Linked DNA regions of Tribolium castaneum. The protein of the gene in region 1 purifies or fractionates together with the protein of each later gene. This does not show direct contact. Links are inferred from orthologs where the notes say so. Each region holds a gene or a part of one and is shown in the gene's direction. Other genes may lie near its edges. The genes, in order: Polr3B, Pfdn2, Polr3I, Polr1C, Polr2H, Polr3F and Polr3K.

Evidence for each region.
Region 2: the proteins of Polr3B (region 1) and Pfdn2 purify together in Homo sapiens (affinity purification with mass spectrometry; 3 studies listed by BioGRID and IntAct, with this or other methods). This does not show direct contact. The link is inferred for Tribolium castaneum from reciprocal best matches to the Homo sapiens genes POLR3B and PFDN2.
Region 3: the proteins of Polr3B (region 1) and Polr3I purify together in Homo sapiens (affinity purification with mass spectrometry; 5 studies listed by BioGRID and IntAct, with this or other methods). This does not show direct contact. The link is inferred for Tribolium castaneum from reciprocal best matches to the Homo sapiens genes POLR3B and CRCP.
Region 4: the proteins of Polr3B (region 1) and Polr1C purify together in Homo sapiens (affinity purification with mass spectrometry; 7 studies listed by BioGRID and IntAct, counting the BioPlex papers as one, with this or other methods). This does not show direct contact. The link is inferred for Tribolium castaneum from reciprocal best matches to the Homo sapiens genes POLR3B and POLR1C.
Region 5: the proteins of Polr3B (region 1) and Polr2H purify together in Homo sapiens (affinity purification with mass spectrometry; 5 studies listed by BioGRID and IntAct, with this or other methods). This does not show direct contact. The link is inferred for Tribolium castaneum from reciprocal best matches to the Homo sapiens genes POLR3B and POLR2H.
Region 6: the proteins of Polr3B (region 1) and Polr3F fractionate together in Homo sapiens (co-fractionation; 4 studies listed by BioGRID and IntAct, with this or other methods). This does not show direct contact. The link is inferred for Tribolium castaneum from reciprocal best matches to the Homo sapiens genes POLR3B and POLR3F.
Region 7: the proteins of Polr3B (region 1) and Polr3K purify together in Homo sapiens (affinity purification with mass spectrometry; 6 studies listed by BioGRID and IntAct, with this or other methods). This does not show direct contact. The link is inferred for Tribolium castaneum from reciprocal best matches to the Homo sapiens genes POLR3B and POLR3K.

Annotation. Positions count from the first base shown.
Region 1 is NC_087398.1:9,957,956-9,963,171, reverse strand, and holds the start of Polr3B (DNA-directed RNA polymerase III subunit RPC2), read left to right. Parts: upstream 1-1,922; 5' UTR 1,923-2,065; coding exon 2,066-2,116; intron 2,117-2,170; coding exon 2,171-2,325; intron 2,326-2,373; coding exon 2,374-2,550; intron 2,551-2,618; coding exon 2,619-2,907; intron 2,908-2,955; coding exon 2,956-3,278; intron 3,279-3,422; coding exon 3,423-3,666; intron 3,667-3,716; coding exon 3,717-3,917; intron 3,918-5,216. UniProt on the Homo sapiens protein: Catalytic core component of RNA polymerase III (Pol III), a DNA-dependent RNA polymerase which synthesizes small non-coding RNAs using the four ribonucleoside triphosphates as substrates.
Region 2 is NC_087397.1:2,598,745-2,602,378, forward strand, and holds Pfdn2 (prefoldin subunit 2), read left to right. Parts: upstream 1-1,809; 5' UTR 1,810-1,886; coding exon 1,887-2,026; intron 2,027-2,183; coding exon 2,184-2,478; 3' UTR 2,479-2,660; downstream 2,661-3,634. Other genes in the region: Vang (van-gogh), read right to left, coding at 1-907, 957-1,060; chondroadherin, read left to right, coding at 3,095-3,634. UniProt on the Homo sapiens protein: Binds specifically to cytosolic chaperonin (c-CPN) and transfers target proteins to it. Binds to nascent polypeptide chain and promotes folding in an environment in which there are many competing pathways for nonnative proteins.
Region 3 is NC_087399.1:3,366,577-3,370,216, forward strand, and holds Polr3I (DNA-directed RNA polymerase III subunit RPC9), read left to right. Parts: upstream 1-1,799; 5' UTR 1,800-1,900; coding exon 1,901-1,908; intron 1,909-1,960; coding exon 1,961-2,072; intron 2,073-2,129; coding exon 2,130-2,282; intron 2,283-2,327; coding exon 2,328-2,453; 3' UTR 2,454-2,549; downstream 2,550-3,640. Other genes in the region: ATP synthase mitochondrial F1 complex assembly factor 1, read right to left, coding at 963-1,799; DENR (density-regulated protein homolog), read right to left, coding at 2,551-2,595, 2,652-2,791, 2,841-3,102, 3,149-3,244; cell cycle checkpoint protein RAD17, read left to right, coding at 3,552-3,569, 3,629-3,640. UniProt on the Homo sapiens protein: DNA-dependent RNA polymerase catalyzes the transcription of DNA into RNA using the four ribonucleoside triphosphates as substrates.
Region 4 is NC_087396.1:18,340,850-18,345,005, forward strand, and holds Polr1C (DNA-directed RNA polymerases I and III subunit RPAC1), read left to right. Parts: upstream 1-1,541; 5' UTR 1,542-1,653; coding exon 1,654-1,716; intron 1,717-1,765; coding exon 1,766-2,066; intron 2,067-2,113; coding exon 2,114-2,233; intron 2,234-2,278; coding exon 2,279-2,692; intron 2,693-2,741; coding exon 2,742-2,851; 3' UTR 2,852-2,932; downstream 2,933-4,156. Other genes in the region: N-acetylneuraminate lyase A, read right to left, coding at 1-35, 79-250, 296-441, 489-657, 703-848, 897-1,236, 1,283-1,534; proteasome activator complex subunit 4, read right to left, coding at 3,015-3,149, 3,196-3,405, 3,455-3,891. UniProt on the Homo sapiens protein: DNA-dependent RNA polymerase catalyzes the transcription of DNA into RNA using the four ribonucleoside triphosphates as substrates.
Region 5 is NC_087396.1:10,332,337-10,337,487, reverse strand, and holds the start of Polr2H (DNA-directed RNA polymerases I, II, and III subunit RPABC3), read left to right. Parts: upstream 1-1,931; 5' UTR 1,932-1,994; coding exon 1,995-2,067; intron 2,068-5,151. Other genes in the region: Epp (ecdysteroid-phosphate phosphatase), read right to left, coding at 793-888, 1,117-1,312, 1,359-1,599, 1,652-1,764. UniProt on the Homo sapiens protein: DNA-dependent RNA polymerase catalyzes the transcription of DNA into RNA using the four ribonucleoside triphosphates as substrates.
Region 6 is NC_087396.1:20,820,853-20,824,766, reverse strand, and holds Polr3F (DNA-directed RNA polymerase III subunit RPC6), read left to right. Parts: upstream 1-1,932; coding exon 1,933-2,102; intron 2,103-2,152; coding exon 2,153-2,888; 3' UTR 2,889-2,904; downstream 2,905-3,914. Other genes in the region: Alg12 (dol-P-Man:Man(7)GlcNAc(2)-PP-Dol alpha-1,6-mannosyltransferase), read right to left, coding at 52-205, 256-429, 477-609, 652-777; mRpL40 (large ribosomal subunit protein mL40), read right to left, coding at 1,114-1,227, 1,270-1,639, 1,684-1,761, 1,810-1,844; Acf (bromodomain adjacent to zinc finger domain protein 1A), read left to right, coding at 3,275-3,387, 3,523-3,870. UniProt on the Homo sapiens protein: DNA-dependent RNA polymerase catalyzes the transcription of DNA into RNA using the four ribonucleoside triphosphates as substrates.
Region 7 is NC_087403.1:7,844,221-7,847,672, forward strand, and holds Polr3K (DNA-directed RNA polymerase III subunit RPC10), read left to right. Parts: upstream 1-1,805; 5' UTR 1,806-1,890; coding exon 1,891-2,031; intron 2,032-2,082; coding exon 2,083-2,268; 3' UTR 2,269-2,271; downstream 2,272-3,452. Other genes in the region: Tcs1 (threonylcarbamoyl-AMP synthase), read left to right, coding at 2,272-2,973; Plekhm1 (pleckstrin homology domain-containing family M member 1), read left to right, coding at 2,966-3,283. UniProt on the Homo sapiens protein: Core component of RNA polymerase III (Pol III) which synthesizes small non-coding RNAs using the four ribonucleoside triphosphates as substrates. Can mediate Pol I proofreading of the nascent RNA transcript.

The DNA of each region.
Region 1 (5,216 bases):
AGAATTTTTAAACTGATTATTAGAATATTAGAAAATGCTAATTAGTACATCGTCAATTAGTACTTTAAAAAAGTGATCATTTTTTGAAAATATTTTTTTTAGTTTTACTGCGGCGATTTTTTGGTAAAAGATTATACTCTAAAAATTACTTCTAATTCAATAATATTGTTTTTGAAGCAGTGTTTTTTTTAAATAAAATATTAAAGTTGCGTTCCAAGTTCATTACTACGATTTTTGGAATTTGTATCTATAGATGTTTTTTATTAGAGTAATTTGATTAGTAAAATTTTTCGCAAATAAAAATTATTTTGTGGTAATTACAAATTAAAAAAATAATGATTTGTTAAAGTGCAATGCTCATTAGGTGACTATAATAAAATAAATAAAAATAAATCATTAAAACTGTTCTAGCGTTCTAAAGTGTTTTTTTTTTTATTTTTTCAAACACAATAGCAATGCCAATTAATTGTGAACACCATCAGTAATTGAACTTTTCTTTGTCATTCTTAATAAGTTATTAATTTTATCACCAACGAGCTTAGGAAATGTAATAGACAAAACTTTTTATTTAAAAGAATACTCATTTTTCCCATGTTCCGTTCAAATAAGCTTTGTTAGGAGGTTGCACAATGAGTGATAGTAAAAAGAATTATACAATTCACACAGTATACTCGTACATGTTACTTCTCAATGTTCTCATGTTCTCACAGAATTCATGTTTTTTTACAATAGATATACTTATTTCGTCTTTTGATATGTAAAGTAAAAATAACTGCTAAAAATAGTTATTAATAATACGAGTGCGAAAACACAAGCTTAAAGTTCGAGGGCTGTCGTTATGCAACGAGCGTATGCGAGAACCCGGAACTTTAAGCGTTTTCGCATAAGTATTATTAAGTTTTTTTTGTTGGAACATTTTACTTTAAAACACGTTGCTATGAGAAGCGAGTTTTAAAATAGTGAAAACATTAATTTAAAACACGTTACTATGGGAAGCGTCTTTTAAAATAGTGAAAACACGCTGCTATGGGAAACGTGTTTTAAAATAGTGTTTTTCTATTTCGGTTTCGTACTGAGGTCACTTTCATTACGATACGCGATTTGCGTATCGTAATATCCAACGGAGTTCTATAATAATTACACTAAAACCAGGGTAATTTATTTGGATAATGTTTACAACCTAGTTTTCTGACAATCATTTGTTTCAAATGTATATTTTAATCAAATAAATCAAATATGAACCTTTAGAGGCTCTTGTACCATACATGATTCAGTGCAAGTAAGTAATTTGAGATCTCATATACTAATATAGTCTAGGATTCAGATATTAAAAAAGGCTTAAAATTTTACCAACAAAAAACATTTTTTTAATTTACCACTTATAGAAAACTTTGTATATAATGAACTGATTTTGATGCATTTTCTGAATATGTTATAACTTACAGCCGGATTCCACTGTATTTTATTTGCTATTTTAGATTGTTCAGTAAGTTTTTATAGGCAACCAATCATACGATTTTTCGAACGGAGGCTTCTTTCGTAACAAAACACGGTGGCAAAGTTTCTTTTCTAAATCTGACGTCCCTTAAGTAGCATATCACCTAAAAATGATTTTTTTTATTAATTTTAATTTTTTATTAATGACAATAAATTTCATGGCAATGTAAAAGTATACTAATTTCACATTACATTATTTGGATTTTTATCAGTACTTACAATTTCAAAGTACCCATAAAAAATTATGTAAAGTATTTGTGAAATCTGGTCTTTAAAACACACACTATATAAGTATATAGTATAAGACTAGTATATATAGTATAAAACTATAGTATATTAAAGTTAATATACTATTAAAATTTTGAAATTTTTAATAGTTTTTGCAATCGTGTTTTAATGCAACCGAAAAAAACTCAGTTCGAAAAACCGTATAATTGGTTGCCTGTACACCCAACTCTCTACACCACATAACCTACATGTTTAACTTCACATTTTCAACATGTAAACAAATAGTTATTAAGCGTAACAGTGATAAACTAATTAATAAGTTGCAACAAAAAGCGCTGAAATGGATTTTGACGATCCCGCCCTTCTCAAAAAACCAATCAAAGAAATCGAAGTAATTCAAGTTTCAAATTACAAAACCTAAAAGGTATTCAAAAATCATTTTTAGGAAAAATGGAAACTAGTGCCCGCCTTTTTAAAAGTCAAAGGATTAGTAAAGCAACACATTGATTCGTTCAATTACTTCATCAACGTTGATATTAAGAAAATCGTGGAAGCCAACAACAAACTAGTTTGTGATGCCGATCCTTTATTCTACGTCAAGTAAATTATAAGGCGCTTTATAAGTTTGGTTTTATCTTAATTTCGTAGATATACAAATGTTTATGTTGGACGACCGGACGTTGACGAAGGCTTCAACATTAGCAAACCTACAACCCCTCATGAATGTAGGCTGAGGGACATGACGTACTCAGCCCCCATTTCCGTAGATATTGAGTACACTAGAGGCACTCAGCGGGTATCCAAAGCTGGTTTAATGATTGGCAGGTAATTTATTAGAAAAATAAAAAAAAATATTGTAAAAACACCAATAATTTTTTTAAATAACAATTTAGAATGCCAATTATGCTCCGTTCCTCCAACTGCGTCCTCACCAACAAATCCGAGTACGAATTGGCAAAAATGAACGAATGTCCTTTAGACCCCGGCGGCTATTTCGTCGTCAAAGGCCAAGAAAAAGTGATCTTAATCCAAGAACAGCTCTCCAAAAATCGAATGATAGTTGAAGAGTCCAAATTTGGGGTCCAATGCGCTGTCACCAGCTCCACACATGAGAAGAAGTCGCGAACCAACGTCGTATGCAAGGCCAACAAGTACTACCTAGGACATAACTCCCTAACTGACGTAATTATTTTGTGCATTCATCGTCAAATTCCCAACAAATTTTTGCAGTTAGTCCCTGTTTCAATCATCTTCAAAGCTTTGGATGTGACAAGTGATAAAGAAATCTGCGAATTGATCGGAGTTGAGGATATTTCTAAACTCACTCCAACGTTAGAGGAGTGCCACACTTTAAAAATTTACACTCAGCTGGGGGCACTTAAACACATAGGTTCGAAATTAGTAGCTAAACGTTACGTGACGTCTGCTAGCAAAATGAAAACGCCAGTTGATGAAGCGAGGGACGTTTTGGCGACCACTGTTCTAGCCCACGTGCCTGTGGAAAACTACAATTTCAGGATGAAGGCCATTTATTTGGGAGTGATGGTCAAAAGGTAAATAAAAAAGTCAGATCATAATCACCGGGTGACAAAAAATTGAAATTTTAATTTGGCAACCCTGAGTATAAAATTCTCTTGTCAATTGTCTGAGTGTTGCCAATTTCAAGGTACAATATTTAACAATTTTTTGTAAAAAAGGGTGATTGAGGCACAGTCGGACAAGAAATTCATGGATGACAAAGACTACTACGGCAACAAGCGTCTCGAATTGGCCGGCTCTCTCCTTTCTCTTATGTTCGAGGACGTTTTCAAACGCTTTAACTGGGAACTAAAATCCATCGCTGAAAAAACCATCCCAAAAATCCGAGCGACTCAATTCGACGTTGTCAAGTATATGCGCTCGGATCTGATCACCAATTGTCTGGTCTACGCAATTTCGACGGTAGCCAATCACAAATCGCCGCGATTCGGCTTCTGATTGGTCGGTTTCAGGGCAATTGGACCATCAAGCGATTCCGAATGGAGCGTTTGGGTGTGACTCAGGTTTTGTCACGGTTGAGCTACATTTCCGCTTTGGGGATGATGACCAGAGTTAATTCGCAGTTTGAGAAAACGAGGAAGGTTTCAGGACCCAGGTCTCTGCAGCCGAGTCAGTGGGGAATGCTGTGTCCGAGCGATACACCCGAAGGAGAGGTATATAGTAAATTTTGTTTGCTTTTTTATACATAATATTACGGAGCAAATTAAATTCTCTGACTCTTTTTTGTCTTACGCCATTTAGTTCTGTTTTTATCATTGATTGTCTAGCAATAGCGTTCGCACGTTTTTAAATTGTGCTCGTTGCTCGCAAAATGCAAACACTTCAGTTAAAACCATACAACAAAAATTGATAGAATAAAGTAGCTGTTTGGTGATTTTTTTATTCGATCGGTGAAAAAATTAAAAAAAAAATTCTCGATGTACTTATAGGGAAAAACGTTCTATTATACACGTAAAGAAAAGTTGGCATTATCTGCTCGTAATTCCTTTCAGAAACCCATCACTCACAGATAATGAACAGCTTTTCTTTACTTGTATAATAAACGACTATTTTTTAACGATTACCAATCTGGTCAGCTGGAATAAGTATTATTGGTTGCATATTTATAGAAATTCAGAATAACTCACTATTGATTCACCCTGTATAGAAGTCTAACTTTACTAATAATTAAGCTACAGAAGACGGGAGCTGAGCAGGGTTATCCTGTATGAATGATTTGTATAAAATTTCCTTTTTTTTTGTTAATACGACTTCTTTACCTTGTCAGGCTCTGTTGAGCAGAGTTTAAAACATCGAACGCAAGCCAATGCTGTAGTTAATATAGTTATTAATAATACGAGAGCAAAAGCTTAAGCTTAAAGTTCTAGAGCTGTCGTTATGCAACGAGCTTATGCGAGTGTAATTTAACTTTTTTTGTTGGAATATTTTAATTTAAAACACGTTGCTGTGGGAAGCCTTTTTTGCTAAAAATTAAGATAGGCAATATCTATAGTCAAAAATTTTATTTACCAAAAAAAAATTCATAACTCGAAAACTAAAAGTCGTAGAGCAATGCGGTTTGTTCCATTGAATTCAGCGGCTTATTTTGCGTATAAAACCATCTTTTAACAAGATGTAAACTTTTAAAGTTTTTTGCTAAAAATTAAGATAGGCAATATCTATGGTGAAAAATTTTATTTACAAAAAAAAAAAAATAATTCATAACTCGAAAACTAAAAGTCGTAGAGCAATGCGGTTTGTTCCATTGAATTCAGCGGCTGATTTTGCGTATAAAACCATCTTTTAACAAGATGTAAAGTTTTAAAGTTTTTTGCTAAAAATTAAGATAGGTAATATCTATAGCGAAAAATTTTATTTACCAAAAAAATTCATAACTCGAAAACTAAAAGTCGTAGAGCAATGCGGTTTGTTCCATTAAATTCAGCGGTTCATTTTGCGTATAAAACCACCTT
Region 2 (3,634 bases), on another chromosome or scaffold:
GTAAAATTTGAAACTTGAGGAGTTTTTGCGCGATTTTGACACCGGGATGCGCTCCAAGTACGGGTTATAAATGGGGAACTCAGTGTAGTACTTTTCAAGGACCCAAACAGCCGCTCGCTGGATGCTTAACTGGCCTATGGCATAGGCGCGGCTAGCGCCATCGGGGCTCCGCACAACCTTGATGTAATACATCGGTTGTTGGTGCCTGATCTCCATCAAAACTACAGCCAAGTAATGGATAAAAAGTAGCGTATCAGTCAGACTTAAGGCGTAAGCCACCAAGGCCTCATAATCCACCGTTTCCTCCGGTGTGGTGGCGGCACGCGCAGTCTCGGTCACTTGAACTATATAAAACAGCCAATAGGCGAAAATACAGACTAAAACAAAGGCTAGGACAGCCGCCCGAAACAGGAAAAACCTTGGCAAGGTCGCATTCGGCTTGCGCAAGAACACAGCCCAGGCCCCGACCGCCAAAATGGCCATTTTGAACGCCAACGACACCAACTGGCCTTTACATTCGGCCCCGCAAGCTAACAATTTCGCGCTGTCTGCGAGTCCCAGCCGCGAGGACAGCGCAGGGAAGAACCCCAGTTTTGGCAATACGACCATGGCTAAGGGGCTCAAGAAGGCAACTATTGAAAGGATGTACGTTAGCACCGTCCCCATGTATCTTTGGCAGACGAAGGAGAGCCCGGTGTCAGGTTCACCGGGCCAGTTACTGACGTCTTCGGTCGACTGGGACTGCTCGGACGTGTTCCCGGTGATGGCAGTGGTGTTCTCGCCCCAGTTGTCGTCCTGGGGCAGGATTTGCACCTCGATGACCTCCTGGCCGTCGCGGTTGTCGGGGGTGAGGGTCACGGCCGTCTGGAAGGGCGCCATCTCGTCGTTTTTGCGAGACTTGGAGCTTCTGTAAAAAAATTACTTTCAAGATGGTCCAGAATTGTTTGGGCACGAACCTGGTGCTTCTGTGGGAGTGCTGTCGGTAGTTGTTGCGGTCGCGGTGCCCCCGTGAACGTCTCGATCGTGAACTGTTTTCCGATTTTATGGATTCAGTCTCCATATCTCGTCCAGTTTCGTTGCCCATGTATTTTCCCAAAAGCCGGATTTTTTTTGCAAGAAACTGTCATGAGTGGTTCTTTATCAACACTTTTGCGGGAATTCTCGTCAAAAATCCTGATTATTTCACTAATAAGTTCAATGACTCCTCACGTTGATGACATTTCGTAAACATGTATTTGTGCATAAAAAATCCAAACAATTTCCGTTATTTGGAGCCTTAGGCCACTTCCGGGGTTCGTTTCGCTCAGGAGGAATGCATTTTCTTGGGATTTGTTTCGTAAGAGTTGCGTAAATCGTTTACAAATTGCATTTAAATTAGTGCGGCGGCTTGTGTGCGTTTTTCTAATAAAACTGGATCATTTTTCTCAAACGGCACTTGGAACACGCACCGTTTTTTCCCCACACACGTAACCAATTCCCTCCGACACTCCACACATGCTTTTTTATTCAAATTTATTCAAAATTTACTGAAAACTAAATCGGAGTTTATAAAATGTAAACGCCTACGTTTAGGAGCAATTTAATTGCCCCATAAATTATGGCTGCAACATGGCTACCGTGTAAACCAAAAATGACTAAAAACACTAAATAGAGCAATTCCTTCCAATGAATTTCAGTCAAAGAAACCGAGACGAGGAAAAAAATAGACGTAGTCTAGACCCGGGAAGATAAATTTCAATTGAAAAAAAATCCACATTGTCTGGTTATCGCAAAATTGGCAAAAACGCGCTTGGTTTTTTCTTTCCGCCAGGTTTACATCATGTGGCTGCGTCACGTGACCATGACAAAGTGACATTTCTCAAATTCCGGATTTATGTTTACCAAAAATGGCAAGTGATTCGAAAAAGAAATCGTCCAAAGGGCTCACGCCCGAGGAGATCCTGAACGGCTTTCAAGCGCTAAGGGCCGAGCAGCGCACCCTTTCATCAAAACTGACGGAATTCGAAGCCGATTCCAACGAACACAAGTAAGTTTCCGGCCCGGTTGTGGCCCCAAACGTGGGGCTGTGGCGGCGAAACCCACGGCAAATTACTCAAAATTGAGTAAATTTTCATTTTTGAAATGAAATTTTTTTCGTGGTTGCCGGTTTTTTTGTAAAATGTTACATAACCTCGCTTTTACAGAATGGTCATCGCCACTTTACAAAACGTGAACGAAGACCGGCGTTGCTTCCGACTAGTCGGGGGGGTTTTAACTGAGCGAAAAGTGAAGGACGTTCTTCCGGCACTTGTTGCGAATTTGGAGAAACTCAAAGAACTTATTGAAAAGTTGAAAGAACAAATCACGAAGAAAGGTGTGGAGATTAATGAATACAGGGAAAAGTATAACATTAGCTTTAGAGGGTTGGATAATCCGGCCCCGAAACAGGAGGAGCAAGTGGCGGCTTCAGAGAGTAGAGGAAATGTTTTAGTGTCTTAAATATGCATGTGCTTTTTTTATTTACACCTAAGCTAGGATTTTTCTTTTGTAGAATATTTATTTTATGTATTTCATTCGAATTTGGTCGGCATTTAACAAATTCATCTTTTTCTATGAGAGCTGTGCTGGTTTTTTGCAAGGTAATGTAACATATTTCATCCGAATAAAAATTTAATTTGTAAGTGGTTTTTTATTAATTTACCCCCATTACCCAATGACGAATTACGTAAGCACCAATAAATTATAATCTCAATTGCATATTCAACAAAAAAAAACAATTAAATTTCTTTCGTTTTTTGTGGCTGTATTATTGGTTGCCTAACCATGACTTTAAATTATTTCTCTAAAAAATTCAAATGAAAGCCTTAATAAGTTTTAATAAATTAAAGCACTTAATATTCACCACATTAAAAAAAACTGGTTTAATTATATAATTAAATTACAATATAAGTATTATCTAAGATAAAAAAAAGATAGATAGTAAATAATAAACCAATCATTTATTAAATCCTATTTGCTCTAGATATCAGTAGTCAGTATGTGAAGTGACTCAGTTTAGAAAAAACATCATGATAAGTTAACTGATAAAAGATTTTCCTCTTGTTCTAGTGAGACAATGTTTAAGTTTAGTTTCCTTCTTGTTTTTTCTTTATTATTTTACCACAACGAGGCCTTAAACCAGCTATGTTCCGTAAGAAAAGCAGAGAAAAACTGTATCTGTAAACGCATCACCGACAGCGAAGATTTAATTGCCACAGAAGCCGACTGCGTAAGAACAAATTTCGACTATTTCCCGACCTCAGAGCAGCTACCTAAAGACCTCAACCTGCTCGACTTATCACACAACTCACTCACAAAACTGGACGCAACCGAAACGCGATTTTCAAGTGTGACCTTAGAAACGTTGAAATTATCTTACAACGCGATTAGTTTCATCAGTTATGGCTTTTTCGCCGAAATTCCCAACCTGAGAATCCTAGTTTTGAGTCACAACAACATCGAAAGTCTCGACAGTGACGAAATTTTCCAAAAAAACCCAAAAATAACTCATTTGGATTTGAGTTTCAACTTCATCCATGTGATACAAGCCGCGACTTTCTCGCCCCTTGTAGAATTACAAGTTTTGGATTTGAGTTACAATAACCATTCTCTCGGA
Region 3 (3,640 bases), on another chromosome or scaffold:
GGCAGTCGTACCAACCCAATTTTCCCAACACAGTCAATTTCAGGGACGAAGTGGTGCGGCACGGGCGACATCGCCAAGGACTACTACGACCTGGGGGCCGAGCCCACCGTTGATAAGTGCTGCAGAGCGCACGATTTGTGTCCCGTTAAAGTTAGGGCTTTTTCACAAAGATATAACATAACGAATGATTCGTTATACACGAAATCGCATTGTTTGTGCGACGATCAGCTGTATTCGTGTCTCAAGGAAAATCCCTCGCCCACGGCGCACATTATGGGGACCATTTATTTTAATTTAGTGCAAATCCCCTGCTTGGAGGATACGCAGCACGGGAAAGTGTTCAGGAAGCCGAAAGAGAGGTTCTAAGCTCAATCAAGTGCCTAATTTCAATAAATTATTTTAAGTAAAATGGCGTTTTATTTGGATTTGAATTTGGGTGCGTTGGTACGCCTGTCAGAAAATACAGACCCGTAGTTCGTGAACTGTACCACCTTACTGTTATTTTCGATTTTTTAACGTAACTCAAGTTAATATAACGCACTTTTGTGTTGGAAAATAGTGAAATAAGTGATAAAAATTTAAAAAAATCAAGTTATGATAAATTTTGGATTTGGTAGGTTGGTACGTAAATAGTGAAAAGCGGTAATAAAATATAAAAATCGGCAAAATTTCTATCATTTGGGCAATTTCGCACAATCGCATTTTATACAGGACCTTTGAGTTATCATAATATTTGAAATTGGTCCAATTTTCGCCCAACAAAAAATTAGGTTATGTCATATTTTCGCAGTAAAATTCAAGAAAAAACGCTCAATTTCATACTCATAGTGCCATTTGCTATGTTATGATCGACTTTATGTATCAACATTGGGGACAAGAAAATAATTGGGTGAAATAAAACTCAAAAAGTAAGGTTATGTCACTCAAACTTTATTTACAATTAGGAATTAAATAATACATATTTACAAAGACAAAGTCTCGATTTGTTTGATCAAGTCCATGTGTTTGAACTCGTCGGGGCGCTTGGTGAACCGCTCCATCAGTTCCAAGTGTGCTTCTGTGGGCCTTACGTAATACAATTGCAACTGATTTGCGAGACACTGGGCCTCCTTCAAATCAATAACATTCTTGTCGTACTCTCCTCGCATCAAGACGATTTTTTTCTCGTCCTTTAGTTCGGTGTAGTGCGTCATTGTGAGGCACTCGGGGGCGTTCTCCTTGTGCACCTGATAGTACAAAAGGGGGGTAAAGTGGACGCAGTTTCGCTCAAACTGCGACATTATAAACTCGTAACCCTCTTTGCGAGGCAAGGCGAAGAGAAACGTAGGGTATTGGCGCCCCCTTGCCTCCAGTTCGTTGTAATCTTCCACAGGGACAACCGCCGCAATGTAGTTCTTCTGTATGTGGTACTGGTGCCAAATCTCCTTAATTTCCTCCGGGGTTTTATCCTTAATTAAGTCAAGTTTCATGACTTTGTCTAAGGGGGCCTCCGAGGCCTCCACAGAACCGAGCGGTTTTTTCGGGTTTAATAGTTGCGAGAACTTGCCTTCAGTGATCGTTTCGGGCTTCTTTTTCGGGGCTTTGGCCTTCTTGAGTTCGTCCATTCGGGAGAGGAACTCCTGGGGGGAGGTTTTTTGTAGTTTGGCGATTTTGTCCGCGTATTTCTCGTAGTAGGCATTTTTGGAAAGCTCGTCCAAGGCCTTTTCGCACCGCGATTGGGTCGTCATCAGACCTCTTACGAATTTACAGGAGTATTTTGAAAAATATCGCAAAAAAGCTAGGTTAGGAAGCCTGGCCATACTTGTGACAAGTTTAGGGTTTTTTGGATTTGTCACCAATTTGTGGTTCAAAAATTATAAAAATAAAGCAATTTGCACTCTTAATTTTATTATTAAATGCGATGGAAATGTAAGACTAAGTTGCTACGTTTGAGTAACGTATTATTAAGGCGTGTTTTCAGTGTTAATGCAAACAGCGCGACTTTGAGTAATTTCGAGGTTATGAAACACCTACAACGGATTAAGGACAGCCGGAAAAAACACAAGGGGCAATTAGCGACGATTACGTATGAGGTGATTAGATTAAGTGGCCGTAAATGGGCCGACTTTCATTCATCAATTTTTTCGTAGACTTTGCGTTACTTGGAAAATACTCCTTGTGCCCAACAAAGCCCACAGTCAATTACTGAGTGTTTGAAGGACTTGGAGCCGTTTAATTTGAACAAAAATGAGAAATTAATGCTGATTAATTCGCCCCCTACGACGGCTTTAGAGATTCAATTGGTTGGTCTTACGCAAAATTTGACTATTTCTAAGTGTGTTTTCTAGATGATTGAAGAAAGTGAAGAAAGGCTCACGGAAGAACAAGTTGAGCAAATTTTACAGATCGTGCTTCAGCACTTCCCCCACATCCAAAAAAGCCAAGAAAACGAAACAACAGAGGAGCAGGAATAATTTTGTGATTGTATTAGGATAGTAAATAATAAAACACTGGCGTGAAAAACGACATAATGTATTGAGAATAAGTATAAATACACGAATTTATGATAAGTTATCGCTTTTGGTCACCCAAATCCTCAATCAAGTCCTCATCAATCTGCAACAAAAACAAGTGCCCCTATAACTAGTGACTTTTTTCGGTCAGTGTGGTACCTCTGGCCATTTTTCGGGAATCACATCAAACAAATCGTCCTTGACGTCCCCCTGGATCACAATTTCGTCCTCACCTGTGACTGAAGACCCACACGCAAACCTGGTCCCGAAAAATTTCGCCGCAACTTTCAGATCAATATCTACAAAAACGCGTCAAACAAGACACTCAGGGCCCCCTAACCCCCCTACCAAACCCACTAAGCCCCGTAACCACGGTAACCGACTTCTTCTTGCCGCGGGGGGCCCTCGACACACACACCTGCTTCGGCCCGTCCTCCTTCTTCTTCGTCTTGATCATGCCTTTACCCCCACGTTTCTGACGCTTTTTTTCCTCTTCAGCGCCACCTCCCTCGCCCGCCTCGTCCCCGATTTTCACTTTTTCGAACTCATCGGGCAAGTTACGCTCGAGCCATTGTTTGCATTTGTCATACTCGGGGTAATACTCGCAATACTGGGGCAAGAATTAGTTCGGAAGGTCTGAAGGGGCGACAACTAACCTCAATCGGCATCGAACAGTTGCCACAGTAGATCACTTGCAAGGGGTACGTCACCCCCGTTCTGGGGCCCATCTGGAGCTTCTCTTCCACCGACATTATGGCCAAAAAATGAAATTTTTGAGAAACAAACCTAACCCCAAAATAGACACGGTCGTGTAGATCTTGCGTTGGCGACACTGATTCACTAAGCACTGACACTATTTTTTCAAAAAATTTATTATTTTGGGCGATTAATTGAATACGGCTCAAGAAATTGGCCAACCACCAATTTTGTAACCGAAAATTGCGCCCAAATATTTTTTTAAACGTGTTTTAATTGTTTAAAATCGAAATTGGTCACGTTCTGGCACCACTGACTGTCAATCCGAATGTCAACAAGTTTCAAACAATCTCGAATAAAATCATGAAAAAAACGGGAAATGTGTGTATTTGCACAACTAAAAACGGGCAGACAAGGTAACAGAGTGATAATTTTTGCAGAAATGGTTAGGT
Region 4 (4,156 bases), on another chromosome or scaffold:
GTCAGTTGCAGCCTTTGAGGCCGCTATGTAGTCGCCTAAACAACATATTAAACCACGTTAAGCGGACTATTCTTTTACCTTGTTTCGCAATCACATCTATCGTCCTGTTGAGTAAATTCTGTGACGTTTGGGCGCTTTTTATCTCCCCTTCTCGCACAGCCACACAAATGGATTCAACCAGTTTTGGTAAAAAGTTCAGACTTGTGCCCATAATACACGTAAAACCGCTCGCAGCAGCCCCCAAAATTGCCTAAAAGTGGAAATTAAGTGGGAGATATGGCCATAAAGCCCCTACTTCGTCGGTGCCCATAAAAACGGTAAACTTTTCCCTATTTACCGCCATAGCAGCGGTGCTCTGTTGTATATCATTCGTGCTATAAATGACGCCTACAAACGAATCCACTTCTCCCGTTATATCCAGCAGAAACGACGTAATATCAACTAAAAATGAATTTTTTCGTGTCTTGTTCATCGTTCGAAACGCTTACTTTCAACTTGCGTAAACTTGGGATTGTGGTGATAGAGAATGGGGACGTTTTTTGTAAATTCTGATATTAATTTTATGTACTTGATTAGGTCTAGGTGGTTTTTTGGTTTGTTGTAAAGGTCGGGGAGGATTACAACAGCGCCGATGTCCCTCTTAGCGGCGTGTTTTGCCTACAAATGAAAAATATTAACAGTTTTAACAAATGTTTAAACTACCATTTCTATAACGTCTTTGAGGGGGGCTCCCCCGATTTGTGCCATCAAAAACTGATTTGTTTTTTCACAAGCGTCAGCCCACGCGTCCGCCAAATCTATTCTTTCATGAATGGTTAAGGACATTCCTTCCCCGGTTATGTCATTAACTAAAATTGACCATTTAATTTAATTCATTTTCTAGAGTTGCGAAATACTTAAAATTCCTTTAATATTGCAAGCTTTTAAAAAATTTGCGTATTTTGGTATAGCCTTAAGGTTTACATCAGGTGTCACTCTTTTTAAGTTAGTAAATGGGGTAAAGACGGGGCACAAAAGCCCCCGAAATTTAAATTTCTGTGCCTTGAATGCAGGCATTGCCGCTTTGAGGGCATGTTTCTTTGACGACATGTGTTTGTGAATGTCGGAAATCCCGCATCTGTAATCCTTTTTACAGAATTTGCAGTAGAAATACGTATTTCCATGTATGCTCTCTGATAACCATGCTTTCAATTCGGGTTTATTCTCCCATTCTTTTTTGTACTTTGGTATGTATTTCTGCGGGAAGGTGGTTGGTTTTTCATTTGGTGTACTGGTGACTTACCTTCGAGTTACTGTCTCGTGATTTCTTTGACGCTGGTTCAAGATTTTCGTCTTTTTTGTCGTCTTGTTTCTCATTTTCTTCTTCGCTGTCTGACTCTTCTGGCACAAAATCGGCAAACAGAGCCTTAGCCGTTTCAGGTGTGCTTATTTGTGAGTCTTTTTCAGCCTTGCTTTTCGTGTTTGAAGCTTCCTGTTTGGAGCATTCGGGTTTCGTCATATTTTTCAAAAATTGTTTATATTTTTCACAAAACATAACCTAAAAAGCTGACATTTTAAGTGGCTTTTGGGTGGTAAGGACGGTAAGGTTGGTAGTCATTTTTACGAAAAACGTGCGTTGTTTGAGGTTATCCAAGTTTTTGAAACAAGTTTAAAATGGATAATATTCTGAATGACGAAAAGCCTCGAGTGATTTTAGGAGAATATAAAGTGACGCAGGTATGTCCTTTATTATTTTGTATTAAATTCCTTCAAACATCCTTTGAAGAATTTGCCCTCGGAACCAACTGTTTTGGACGAGAAATGGGACTTGAAAACCTTTAAGAAGAGATTTAGGGTGGTGATTGTGCGAAGTGAAGAGAATGAACTCGAATTTGACTTGATAGGGATTCACCCGTTCCTAGCAAACACTTTCAGAAGGTTAATGTTGAGTGATGTCCCCACAATGGCCATTGAAAAGGTTCACATTCTTAATAACACGTCTATAATCCAAGACGAAGTTTTGGCCCATCGTTTAGGCCTGATACCGCTAAAGGCCGACCCCCGATTATTTGAAATGAAAACTGATCGTAAGTCTTGTAATGTTGCCGTTCCAAACGTTACAATATTTTTACAGCAACTGCTGAAGGTACCGAACAGGATACTCTAGAGTTTGCGTTAAAAATTAAATGTACCAATAATAAAGACAGCAGTAAAGACTCACTGCGAGCTGAAGATATGTACAAAAACAATAATGGTAATTACCCCGTTTGAGAAACAATAAAAATTGCAATAATTTTAGTGTATTCAAAACACATCAAATGGGTGCCCATTGGTAAACAGAAGGAGCGGTTTAGTGACGTGGGCCCCATCCACCCTGACATTCTCATTGCCAAAATGAGGCCAGGCCATGAGTTAGATTTAAAATTATTAGCAGTCAAGAGCAACGGGCGAGACCATGCGAAATTTTCTCCTGTCGCAACCGCATTTTATCGCCTTCTTCCCGACATAAAATTATTACGAGAAGTGGAAGGTGAAGCAGCTGAGAGACTCCAAAAATGTTTCTCTCCCGGTGTGATTTCAATCCGACATGAAAAAGGCCGCAAATACGCTGTTGTAGCTAATGCGAGGTATGATACAGGAAGTCGGAATGTTTTCCGTTATGAAGACCTCAAGGACGCAGTAGCGATGACCAAAATTCAGGATCATTTCATTTGTAAGTTTTTTTTTATTTACTTTTTCAGTTTTTATTAATTGTAATTTAGTTACGGTCGAATCTGTGGGGGCTTTACCACCTGATGTGATATTCATGGAAGCTGTTAAAATATTAAAAGACAAATGTCTTGCTTTATTAGATGAATTAAGTCATGTATAAACATTTCACTTAATATACTTTTATCAAACCACAAAAAATATAATGAACAAGGTTAAAAATAAAAAACATTTGACGCGTAAATTTTTGCTACCTTAAACCTTCCTTCACCTATTGTCTAGTAAAAAATTAAATTGTAAATTGACTGGAATCGGAAAATTATTGCCTAGGCGTAATAACTGGGAGGCACTGTGAGATCACTTAAAACTAACAGTTCTTCCTCAGTAAATTTGAGTTTGTGGATTTCCCAGTTTTCGTGATGCGTTCGCTTGAAATCTCCCAAGGTTTTGCGAATTGTTGCCTAAAAATTATTAATTATTTTTTTAAACGACGAAAGTGTGACTCACAGGAATGGGTTGGGGGTCGTTCAAATGGGGTCCTAATTGTCCAAAAACATCCGGTAAAAAGTCAGGTACGTCGTATGGATGGCTATTGATAAAAGCACACAAGCCCAAAACTCCAGCATGTCTAAATCTTAAAGTACTAAGATTCAAACTGTTTGAATTGTTCAAATTTTTCTTCTTCAATTTAGTTTTCGCTTTCTGTTTAAATTGCGCCTAGAATTCACGAATTATTTAACGATAAACTAAGAACCCGAATAATTACTAATAATTCTTGAGGGTTTGGAATAAATTGGCAGTGCAAAAGACCGCTTAAAACTTGACTAGCACTAACTCTAACTTCAGGTTGAACATCTTCGAGTAGTTCTAGCACCATGTGTTGTATATCTAGTACCCACTCCTTTTTCGAAATAATCGTGGGCATATTGTGGAATACAAAACCGGACATGAATTCGGTTATAACCGCACGAGCCGACCAGAACGGACAAGTGGCAACTTTTCTTATTGCTTCAAGGGCCGAAGGCATGTATTTGTCAATAGTTATGGTGTAGGCCAAAACTGCGAGCAAACTCGAGCAAATTGGGGCGATTTCGTCGTCGGTGTCGTTGCTTTGAAGCACACACGACAGTGGCAAAATCTCGAAATATTCAGGCAGCGTGGAGTAGTTCATTCTTACAACACTCGATGTCACGTATTTTGAAACTGAAAACATGCCTTTTATTATTGCATCCTGACTGATTACATTACAAAACAAAACATTAGAAACAATTACAGAATCACACAAGGCTCCGATTTTCCAAATAACAATTAAAAGCCTAAAAACATATTCTTAAATAGAAAAATTAAACCAGTGCCGATTAGTCATCGTACAGTCACATAACTGCTATCATTTTTGGTGGATGCGCCGGCTAGATTTGGTTTTCATTCTAGAATATTTTTTAGATTCTTACTACGGATATTTTAAGGT
Region 5 (5,151 bases), on another chromosome or scaffold:
GAGATCAGATCCATCGTCAAAGTATAATGTATATGTTTTTTAAAAATGTTTTTGTAGATTTTTGCTAACAAAGTAGTTTTTTGGAGAAAAATTGCTAAGAACATAATGAGGCCAATTTCACAATTACTACTAAGATGAAATTTTAAGCAGATTCACCTTGTCCGCATAAGGAAAATATAAAAGTATTTGCTTTAAATCAAGATTAATCACTAGCAAGTTTGTCTAAAATTCTTGAATTGAAAACATACTCGTAATGACAATGCACAATAATCGTACTTACTTTTGGTCTAATCACAGGTTTATTCCATAAATGGAAAAAATATAAGACACTTTTTCCAAAGGTTTTATCGGTAAGGACTGGTAAATATTTTGCCACCGCCTGACGGACTTATAAAGCTCTTATAAAACCAAGGAATAAACAAACACATTCCGCAACATATTTTTCAATATCGGTCATTAACTACTGTCACATTTTATCAAATGTGCAATAAAAGGTGAACTTTCCTGCAGATGACTTTTACTTTGTATAAAGACTCAAACCACTAATGGTGGCTGTATTTCTCTTTCAGACACTTCAAAAACAAAAGACAAAAGGTAACTAATTCACATGTTAGGATAATGATAGGTAAGAGAATATAAAACTGTTAGTAAACCAGCAACTTCAGTAAAAGGATAAATAAATGTTAGTAACAAAAGGAAAAGCAAAGTAAAAATTCAAACTTTTAATAGAAAATAAATACAAAAAAATGATAATTATCTAGAGGAAACTACACTAAACTACAATTTGCTTACATCTACTTCCCCGAGGAATGCAACGAGCAGTTGTTGTGGTACACCACGGAAAACAGGCTGTTAGAGCATCGAAATGTTCGTATGTGTCACTAATAACTGCAAATAACCACCACCTTTAGCCAGATTGTCATGCTAGTATTAAGAACAACTACAAGTAATTTGATTACCATGCAAGCATGTGTCGTTATCAATTTATTTACAATGTTGAGAAAACATGATTAGTAATAATAAGGACCAATCATTATCTAAATATTTTTCTGGTAATCAAAAACCAACAAAGTTACAAACATGCCCATCTACTGGTTTATAGAAAAATCGACTTACTAGCATTTGAAACTTCTTTAACATATTGCATGGCAATCCTTTTTAAATAATCAGCGTGCTCCTCCGCCACAAAAAACCCCATAAAATTTGGAGAAGTATACGTTTCTAGTTTTAGGGGCTCGTTCAACATAGCGCCCTGCCTTTCCATTACGGACTTTAGGCTTTGCGCCAGATGTAGGGCGTCTTCATCAGGCGCCTGTTACACATCATTAAACGAATTCAAAATTTATCAAATGAAATACCTTAAAAAACGAAACTAGCGTAATGTGCGGCGTGAAATTGTGGGCCCCGTTCCAGGCGCATTCCCTGTGCGACTTCTCCCAGAAGGTCTGTAACTGTTCCAGGAAAGGTCCCGTGGGACACGCATATAAAATGTACTCCCTTGGAGAGTTATCGTCCAGCAATGGGTCATTTACGTGGGCCAGTAACCAGTCGGAGGCCAACTGCACGCCCCTGTTACCAGTGGCAGCTAAGGCCTTTTCGCTGTGTGTAATTTCAAGTTACCCGAAAGTTTATTATCATTTTGTTTACTCACGCTCTGTGTTTGGGGAACCCCATCTGGAGGAGGATTTGTAGCGGGGTCAGGTGCTGTTTGGATATTTTTGTAGGTGTGGGGTTCCTCCTAGGGGGTAGTGTTGCCATTTTCATTTAATAAATTATTAATTTCAACTAGGTTAAAGTTTGGTGTTGACACTTCTAGTGGACCTTTGACATTTAAACAGTGACGTTTTTGTTTTGGTTTTGTTTGGGGAATTGGCCTTTCAGATGGCGGCACTGGTTGGAACACTGTCAAGTGTTGATGTCTGTCAAAATTTGCCCATTTTCATAAGAAAGTATTAAAGTGTGTTAATTTTTTATTATTTACACGTTATTCGACGATGGCAGGTGTCCTGTTTGAAGATATATTCAACGTGAAAGATATTGATCCTGAGGGAAAGAAATTTGATCGAGGTAAGTGGCTTTTATCGTCTGTTTGTTTGGATGTGTGACCGGCGTTTTTGAGGTTATGTTTTAACGTTTCGTAAAATTGCTCGAAATTGTGTTAAATTTTGAATGTATTTAAAGTTTACATCTTGTCTCATTTACCTCTGAATTTGGAAAGCGTGTGTATGTGGTTATTAATACGATAATACCGTCCTACTCTAAATATTGGTTATACCCCCCCACCTGTGTCCTAGTTGTGGCATCGATTGGTCTTTTTTAATGCATTAAGAATAAAACCAATAAAAACAGGCAGATAGAATAGATTTTTTTTGGTTAGAATTAATTACTTGAAGGACTTATATTAATAGAATTATGCAAAATTAGTCTTACAAAATTTTACTTTTATACTAATAATTTTTTAACGTATTAATTTTTGTTTAATACTTGTGTGGTTTGTAGGTGGTGTGTATGGGTGACATGGGCCGGCCCCCATTTTTGTTAAAACTGTTCGCTGTTTGAATCATTTGTGAAGACTGATGAATTACATGAATTAATTGTAATACAAAAAGCAATAAAATACATATTAAGAAACACGTAGGGGTTTAGAGCATTCTAGCTGGGATAATAAATGGATATATTAATTACACTAGTTTACAATTTTTTTTCTTTTACTAAGAAATCATTTCTACTAGGTAATTTTGTTTTCTACTTACTCACTGATAACAAAAATATACAGGCTATTTGGCAACACAGTATTAAAAAAACATTTAGGGTGTATCAAAATTGGCGAATTCCGAGTTCTGAGCACTGTAGAGAATTGCTTTAGTAGTCCAAACATCGAAAAGAGTTATTAATAATACGGGAGCAAAAACAAAAACTTAAAGTTCGAGAACTTTAAAAGCGTTTTCGCATGAGTGTTATTAAATTTTTTTTTTTGGAATATTTGAACTTAAATGAAAACACGTTGCTATGGGAAAAGCGTTTTAAAATAGTGTTTAAAATCTAGGATTCAGATATTAAAAAGAAGGCTTCAAATGTTACCAACAAAAAAATATTCGGGGCTGCCTCACAAAGATACATTGGTTTGAAGATTACTCTTTGAACTGCGTTTTTTTTAATTCAGCCTATATGTTTCAGTGTTTATTCTTATTTGTGGTGACGATGATTGTGAAGAATAATAACTGTGAACGATTTCTCAAAAAACTAGCTTTATTATTTTATATTTATATTTATTTTTTTATATTATTTTGGAGTTTTTAAAATCTTAATTTTTTTAATTTGCCGTTTTGTTTTTAAGAAAAATTACAAAAATTTAAATTTTTTACTCTAAAATGAAGCTGATTTTTTGAAATATTGTTTTACATTATTATCTTCCACAATCATCTACATCATAAGTAATAAAAATGAAAATAATGAAAAATTTTTAGCCTTCATTTGAAGAAAACGCAATTCAAAGTGAGCTGACGTGCACCTTCAAACCACTGTATCCTTGTGGGGAAGTTCCGAATCTTTATTTTGTTTTTACATTTAGTCTAGTGAAGTGATTCTTTACAACGCTCTGACCTCGGAATTTGTCAATTTTGAAACATCCTGTATGTTACATTTTTCTATCACATCTAGTTTTTTTTTAATGTTCACTAAAAGTTTTGAAAATTGGTTTCTGGTGTCTAATTTAGCATCCGTTGTTTCTGTGATGAACTAATTGTTAAACATTTTATTTGCTTTAAAATATCATTAAGTGAATGTATTAGACTTACCGATACGCATTGGTTTCATCTATTGGCAAAAAACGTTGTAAACTAGTGTTATTAGGAACTGAAATGAATAAAGAGAAGAAATACAAAGTAAAAAATTAAACCGACGTTTAGAAATATTACACTTCGAATTTTCCAAGTTAATACATTTTATTAAGTACTCCTACACATTTCAAAATGATAAAAATGCGATTTATTTTTGTTTCTATCATATTGAAATTAAATTGTTAAAAAGAAAAAGAAAATCAGTTGTTCCAGTAAAAATTAGTTAAAAATATTACAGGTAATAACACTGTAACAAAAAGTGAAAATTTTTGTTTTTATTCTGTATTATTACTATTATTAGTGTTTATTGAAAGCATAGGTCTTTTTGAATAAATTTTTGGTCACAATTTATTTTTAGTGTCGGTCTGCGAAAAAAAAGTGGGGGTTGACAATTTTTGATTTTACTCAAATTTAATAAGATGTTGTGATGTTATCCATGAAAAAGATTAATAATTAGCCACAAAACAACTTGTAACTTGATTAAATGTAACGAAAAGAACACAAATTAGTTATTAATAACAGAAAATTTGGTGGCACAACGCCAGTGGTCCTAAATTATGTTTAAAAAATCTAGTCATACATGCCTGCTTACTGGATGGTTCTAACAGGTGAAAAATGGGGTCTTCACTGTTCAATGTTATAACGAAATATGTCCAATTTTTGTCATTTTGAGAAAAATATAGAAACGTATGCTATAAAGTCCCTCTCTTTCAAATGCAATAATTGTTTTTGCAATAGAGTGGTTTATTTAGATGTTATTAAACAATTTTGTTATAACACCGAAAATTTGTGAACATTTGTTCAGCAGAATAATGAGATAAGTCAGTCAATCGTTTTCTCTCTATAAGTCTACAAATTACTATTAAATGTAAAGTAATATAAAAAACTATAAATTACATCTGACCTTTCATTTTGTGTGTTTTCTATAAATTTAAAGACAGTATTTTTAAAGGAGTGGTTTTTATTAAACAAAAACATTAAAATAGTGGTTCGTTCTAGCTCTTGGGGTTAAAGGTATTTCCATTTAAAAACAACAACTCAAAAAAATGTATATGTTTATATCACTCATAGAGACTACTGTAAAAATTTCATTAATTTATTGACCTCTTCCTGGTGGACGACGTATAAAAAAATAATGGTATATGAAAGAACAAGTTTCATACATAAGACCAGTCGTAAAGCACGAATTTAGTTTTTTTAGCCTTTTTTTGTCGTTTTTATACAAAAATTGTTATTAGGGATTTTTGGGACAGTTGGTAATGTCTCAATTTTGAAAGTGAAAAATTGATTTAAAATTTTTGTTTTATCAAAA
Region 6 (3,914 bases), on another chromosome or scaffold:
TGAAAGGAATAAATAAGCTCAAATTGTGATTTATTCGCCTTACTGACCTACCGTTTCAAAGTGATTCGTTTATTGATCAAATCGTACAGTAGGAGTAGGCCGAGGAAGAGGGCCAGTTCGGCCCTGAATATGATAATAGCGGCCCCCGAAAGCAAAATAAATTGTTTGCTGTCGCCTTTGAGCCAACTATTCAACGCAAGGAGCACTAAAACCGGTCGTATAATAATTAAAATCAAGGGAGATGGGGGCTTTTACCCAGCGGCAGTGCGAAAATGTTGGGCAAGGGCCGGCTCAAGTAAAACATAAAGTGGCTCTGGGTCACCGTCACTGCCATGAACCACAGCTGCCACTTCGGCCCGAAAATCTTGGCCAAAGTGCGGGACAGGACGTGGAAAGCGGCGATAACGCAGCCCCCCAAAGCAAACCGCACTGTAATAAAAAATCACAATTTTTGTACTATTTTTCAACTTGATTACCGATATATTGCGCCCAAAATTTGTTAATTTCGAACAACTGCAAAAGCGAGACTATGGGGGCCACCAAAATCGAAATGAACAAGGGGCCGATGAACGTCCGCGGCACCACTCCGGGGAACTCCAAATGGTCGTACTAGAAACACAGTTATTTGTGGGCGAGACAAGGGGCGCCTACCTGAGACAGGTTCCACTTGTGGTACAAAATATCGTGCATGGCCTGTAAATTGAAGCTTTCCTCCACTTTGGTAAATGGGCAGTATACCAAATGGGCGGCGGCGATAATTAGCATTATTTGCACCATTTCGGGGGCTAATTTTTATCTACATTCTTGAATTTTGGACGAAAATAGATTCACCTAACCTACAATTTCAAATGAGCTGACGTAAATAAGCTAAATTTATTTTATCTCTTCGGTCCGGAACTGGGATCATTGTGCTGGGTTTGGGGTTTAGGGCGCCTTGAGACAATTTTACCATCAAATTACCAACAATAGGGGCAATTTTTATTATTTTGAAACGGTCGGACACGTAATTTGTTACGTAAACAATAATAAAAAGTGTGAATTTGAAGTGATTTTGAAGTGTGAATAAAACAAATTTTGTCTATTTATTATTATCCTACTTTATTTATTTCCTTTTCATTCCCATTTTTTCGAAACATCGGCATAATCACCGTCCGGGCTTTCGTAATTGTCGATAGCTGGCGTTTCCAAAGGCCCCTCGCTCTTAAAGGGCAATAATCTGAAATCAATCTGGACAAAAAAATATATTTTGCGAAAAAAAGCCCCAGTCACCTGCATTGCTTCCTGATACAACTCCTCCGACTCTTTCCGCAGCTCATCCAAGGCTTTTTGTTGCGCAAAGAAAATCCGGTCCAGCATTTGGACGTCCGTAAGATGCTCATTTTTCCGATAAGTGGCCCATTGTTTGTCCAAAAGTGCTCTTTGTTCCAATTCACTGTCAGAAAGTGCAGGCAAAGACCTCATCCTTGATTTTTTCTCATCTAACAGAGTGAGGGGCACTTCACACTCTTCGATAGGTTTGAACTGGCGCGCGTGCTTCTCCAATCGCCGGATTTGCTTCTCAATTTTCTTCTTCTTGCGGTCTTCTCGTGCTTTAATAACTGCAGGGTCTAGTTTTTTCTTCTTCTTCAAAGGCTCGGCCCTAGATAATTGGTGAATTGGGGGCCTCGTTTCGTTATTACTTACATGAGACATGGTGTTGCCCTAAAATTGAGAAAGACACTCGTTGCAATTCCCCGTCTTGGGCACGACTGGAGGGCTAGCCTAAAAAATGTCACAGTTAGTGCCAATTACTCCAAACTTATACCACACCTATTAAATGTGTTTATCAAAGACCAGGCGCTCATTTCTTGCCTTTTTTCCTAAAAAAAATCGGCAAAAATAGAAATAGGCCAAAATTTTGAGGTTAGAACATAACCTCACATAACCCCAAAAATGAGCCAAGCTACGAGTTCAAACAGCGAAGAGATAAGTAACGAAGACCGTTTACTGGAATTAGCCAAGGCCAAGCCTGAGGGGATTTCAAACGAGAACATAAAACAGGCAATTCCTAATTTACCCCTCGAAGAACTCGCCCTGATAATCAACAAGTGTTTAAAAAATGGGTTCGTGGGCGCAATCACCCCCTAATTCTATTCCTAACCAAAATTTTCAGTTCCTTGGAGTTGTTCAAGACCAAAGACAAGCTCCTCTACAAATACAAAGACTCGTCGAAGAAGCCCGCCATTCGGGGGGCCGACAACGAGGAAAAAGTCGTGTTTAAGATAATCGAAGAGGCTGGCAACAAGGGCATTTGGATTCGAGACATTCGCTTCAAGTCCAACCTCAACATGACGCAACTAAACAAAGTCCTCAAAAGTCTCGAGACGAAAAAAATAATCAAAGCCGTAAAGTCAGTCTCGGCCAGTAAGAAAAAAGTGTACATGTTGTACGACTTGGAGGCCGACAGTTCGGTCACGGGGGGCGCCTGGTACCAGGACCAGGACTTCGAGTCGGAGTTTGTGGACGTTTTGAGCCAACAGTGCTGCCGGTATTTGCGCCAGAAGTGGGAGGATGCGAACAGCATGGGGGGCGGCCCGCTCCTGGCCCGAAACCGGAGCTACGCCACGGCGCAAGACGTCCACAAATTTATTTCCGAGCTGGGGATTAGTAAAATTTCGCTGTCAGTGGACGATATTGAGAGCATTTTGTATACTGTTGTTTTGGATAATAACGCGGAGCGGATTGTGGCCACGAACGGCTCGTTTTTGTACCGAGCGGTCAATAAATTTATGCAAACACCTGGCATTGTGACAACCACTTGTGGGGTTTGCCCCATAGCCAGCAGGTGCGCCGATACCGGTTTTATTAACCCGAAAGTTTGTAATTATTTCACGGAATGGCTCGAATAAAGTGTTTCGCAACAAACTGGTGTTTTTTTTATCCCGTATTAATTAATTAAGGTTATGTTTGTGGGGGAACATAACCACAAAAAAGTGTGGAACATTTTGGTGGTCGCAGGTTTTTTAAATGTCCGTTCTTGGGCACAGCTTTTGGCAGTCACCTGCGCTCCGCGCATGCGCCGGAGCCCCGAAGCCGAAGAGGTTGTCTGTTTGTCATGAATGGTGTGAGAAACGCAATTTTATTGCGGAAATTTTCGGTTAGTTCGCTTTGAATCTCGCCATTTCATGTCAGATTTGGTTGCTAATCCATCAGTGTTGCGTTGTGTGTGTTGTAAATGTGGGAGCAATTCTGATTAGACTTGTTGTGGAGTCGTGAGTTTTCCCTCCAAATTGCGATGCCTCTTTTGAGGAGAAAGCCCTTCGAAAAAGCGCCGGTCCCGGAGGATATCCGCGATGACGAGGAAGTTTTCTACTGTGGGGCCACCAACGAGATTTTCCGGGATTACGAGTGAGTTTTTGCGGCGGGTTATTTGGAACGTGGTTGCTTTCAAACGCTTGACCTAACGGTCCACTGTACCTACGCCATCGACCTCAAATTTAACGCAATCGGAGATCGGAATCGATTCAACGCTTGGCTTTTCAGGGACTTCTCCGAGAGGATGTTCCTGTGCAATTCGATGATTTGGACATGTGCGATGACGGGAAAACCGAATTTAACGTATGCCGAGGCGCTGGAAAGCGAGGAAAACGCGAGGAAAAGCCTCAAAGAGTTCCCAGCTGAGCTCAAAATACCACTCCTGTACTTGGCGAGTCAGACAAAACGGACGTCCTTTGTTGACATGGCCGAAGACGTGTACTTGTTCACCAAAGACAGGTACTTTATCGGCGAAAACGTGGAAACCTCGTTCACGGAAACCAAGTGGAAGGACTCGCACGTGCTACAAGTCATACCGCCCCCAAACAAACAAACCAAATCGCCGACAAAAAACGGGTAAGTCCCCTGATACTAAAACGCCAAATTGCGTCATTTTAATC
Region 7 (3,452 bases), on another chromosome or scaffold:
TAATATAAAGAAAATCCACCGTTTCTAATTATTTTTTCTGGGGAGATTGAAAAGTCTTGGTACTCATAAGCAGACAAAACAATTTTTTGTCTTTCTAATCTAATTTTAACGGCTAATAAAAAATATTATAACTTTTATTTTTTTTTTAATTTGTATTTAGACAAAGGAAAGGGCCATCGGGACCCGGGCCCGTGTTCCACGAATCCGAGGCTCAGTACGGCACTGTAGGAAATGTGCACTGTGTGAGTTAGAATATGATCATTGATCAATGATCAAACATCAAAAAGGAACGACTGTATTGAGTATTTCAACTGTAATAAGAAATCTTCTACATATCGCTTCTGTAGTGTCAAAAATTAGTTTTTGTATTTTTTTTAAATGAGGCTTATTTCTCCCTGAATTATCAATACAAGGATGGATTAATTCGTGGTCTCTTATAGAGAGCAATTTTTTTGAAGAGTTACCGGAATCGACCCATAAGGATGGGATAAAGACTTCGGAACACCGATTGACCAAGTGCACATAACTAGAAGGAGGTTATAGTGAAAAGTAAAGCAAAAAATGTTTGGCCAAATTATTATTTTCTATGTGAGGCCACGACTTAATCATCCCACCCTCGTAGAATAGAATAATAGAAGGGCAAAGAAAATTTAAATGTACTCATGTTGGTAAATTATTATTAATGAAGTTTATAAAGGATCAAAAATACATAACAAACGAAGAAAAACAAAATATAAATAATATAAAAAATATAAATATAATATAAAAATAAATTGCCGTAGTAGGGTGCTATTTGAAAAAAAAATCGAAAACTAAAAGGAATTAAAAAAATATTTTTAAAGTAGTTGATAATGTAATAATTAGTTTTTCTTAAAGTACATAGTTTAGGCACATAACAATTAGCTTCATACTTTTGCCAAACGATGTATGTTATTTTGTAGGTATTTCCCCTAACATAATTCATAAAGCTTAATTTCCTTTCTCGTTTGTTATTAAATTTTGCTAAAAATAAGTCAAAATCCAAGTGGAGTAATAATTATTACTAGATATATTTTTCTTAAAAAAAAAATGCATACTTGATGTTGCATGTCCATCTGATGACCCTCTGTCGCTTCAACTTTAAAAAATAAAAAACATCCATGTTTATGGTGTTTTTGAAATAGCTAAAATGATGTCTATTTCAAAATTTACTTAAGTAATAACAAAGAAAGAAAAAAAAATATTATAAACTTCTCTATTTAAATTTTTATAAAACGTATGACCTGAAATTTGTTTAGGAAGGGCTTCGCCCTGTGGGGCCCTACGCTGGCTACGGCCCTTGTAAATTATCCTAATGATTTTGAACCAATTACCATAGTGTTTATTTTTTTTGTCAGGAAAATTGAAAAAATTATATTGAATTCTCATTTAGCGAGAGAGATAAAAATCAAAACCTTTAAAACGAAATTAACAAAATGAACCAAGTGCTCAATACCACCGAGTTTAGTATAGGCAACCCATAAAACACAACGTTTTTAATTATTTTTCTTTGTAATTCTTATAATTTTTTTATTACTTAGTTAAGTAATGTGGTATAGGAAAATGTTTGAACCATATTATTTTAAATTAAATTAATCATTGTAAAATTGTCCTTGTTTATTTTAATTGAAAATATGTCTTATTTAATTCGACTATATAAAAAGCGGAGCAAATTAGTGAAGTAATTAGTTGACAAAATAACTAAGGCCGTAAGTGGCTGAATATTTGTTATAATTTATAATTTAAATAAAATAGAATACGAATTTTGTGTTGGTGCCCTCGCCCCAGCGCTGCCAACCCACCGTGCGCTGTCATTGTCAATTTTTGACACATGTGAATTCAAGTTGAATTTCATCATAATAATCACGGGTCATGGTTGTGTTTTGTCCTTTCTGTGGAAATTTGCTATTCGCTCAACAGACCTGCGGCCGATTAGGTTTTGCGTGTCGCATCTGCCCCGTGTCATTCCCCATTCGTGGAAAAATCTCGAATCGCACGTACTTCCAAGTGAAGGTAAAACCCAAATAACCCACTATCATTGTTCCAACTCCGTCACGCTTTCAGTCCGTTGATGACGTGCTCGGCGGCGAAGACGCCTGGAAAAACTGCGACGTAACAGCGGAAACGTGTCCAGAATGCAGCCACCCCCACGCCTACTTCCTCCAGGTCCAGACCCGCTCTGCTGACGAGCCCATGACCAACTTCTACCGCTGCTGCAACCCCGAATGCGCCCACAACTGGCGAGAGTAGGCGATGCGTTTTTTCGCCCCCCTTTTCAAAAAACTCTCCCCGAAGCGGGCTTCTATGGCATTGCACGTCCCCATCAGGGACCCACATGCTGAGGCTTTAGCCGTTGATTTGTTAAAGTCGGGCCGCGTGATCGCCCTCCCTACGGACACCGTCTACGGACTTGCCTGTGACGCGACGAACATAACCTCAATTAACAAACTCTATAGCATTAAGGGGCGCAACGAAGCCAAACCTGTGGCGATCTGTCTCGGGGACGTCCCCCAGGTGAAGGCTTGGGCCAAAATCGGGCACTTGCCCCAAGGTTTGCTCGAAAGTCTGCTCCCAGGCCCAGTGACTGTCATTCTGACTAGTGCAAGCACACTTGATAAGTCACTCAGTTTTAACGCTAAAGTGGGGATTCGAATCCCCGATTATCACTTTATTCGGGCTTTGGCCCGCGGTTTGGGACGCCCTTTGGCCCTCACAAGTGCCAATTTAAGCAACGAGCCAAGTTCGTTAACAATCAACGAATTTCAAGACTTGTGGGCTCAGGTTGGTGCAGTTTTTGACGGTGGTAATTTAGGACTTGACGATTCGAGACGACGTGCGTCCACCGTTATTGACTTATCAGAATGCGGTTTGTTCACAATCGTGCGACACGGTATTGCGGTTGATAAAACTGTTGCGATTTTGCACAAGTTCGGGTTAATTAACAAACATGAATAAGTTGTTTAAAAGTGTGCACACGTCGAGTAATAAAGACAATTTAATTAAGAAGTCGATCACGGATCACTTGTCGAATAGTGTGAAAGCGATACAGTATTGCGGAGTTGAAGAAAATGGACTCAATAAAGCTGAGGATGTTACCGAAGCTTCGAACACGCTGTGTATGACGATTGAAGCTATTTTTCTGCACGGTTTGAAGGACTCCTTGAGTAAAAGGTTCAAAAGGGCCATTGCAGATGTTGACGAACGGCCAGAGCCCAGCTTCTGGGCCCCCTTACTTGTCATATCACATCGACAAATCATAGACCAGGTAACAAAGGATTTAGCATTTTTTCCAATTCTCAAAAACTAACGCACATAATTCAGAATTTTGGTACAGTTCCTCATAATTAATAGTTATTTACCGAGTTTGAGTGTAAATCTGACGCTCTGTTGCTGAGTGGATTTTTAAACGTCGAGTGGTCACCGATTTACACAAA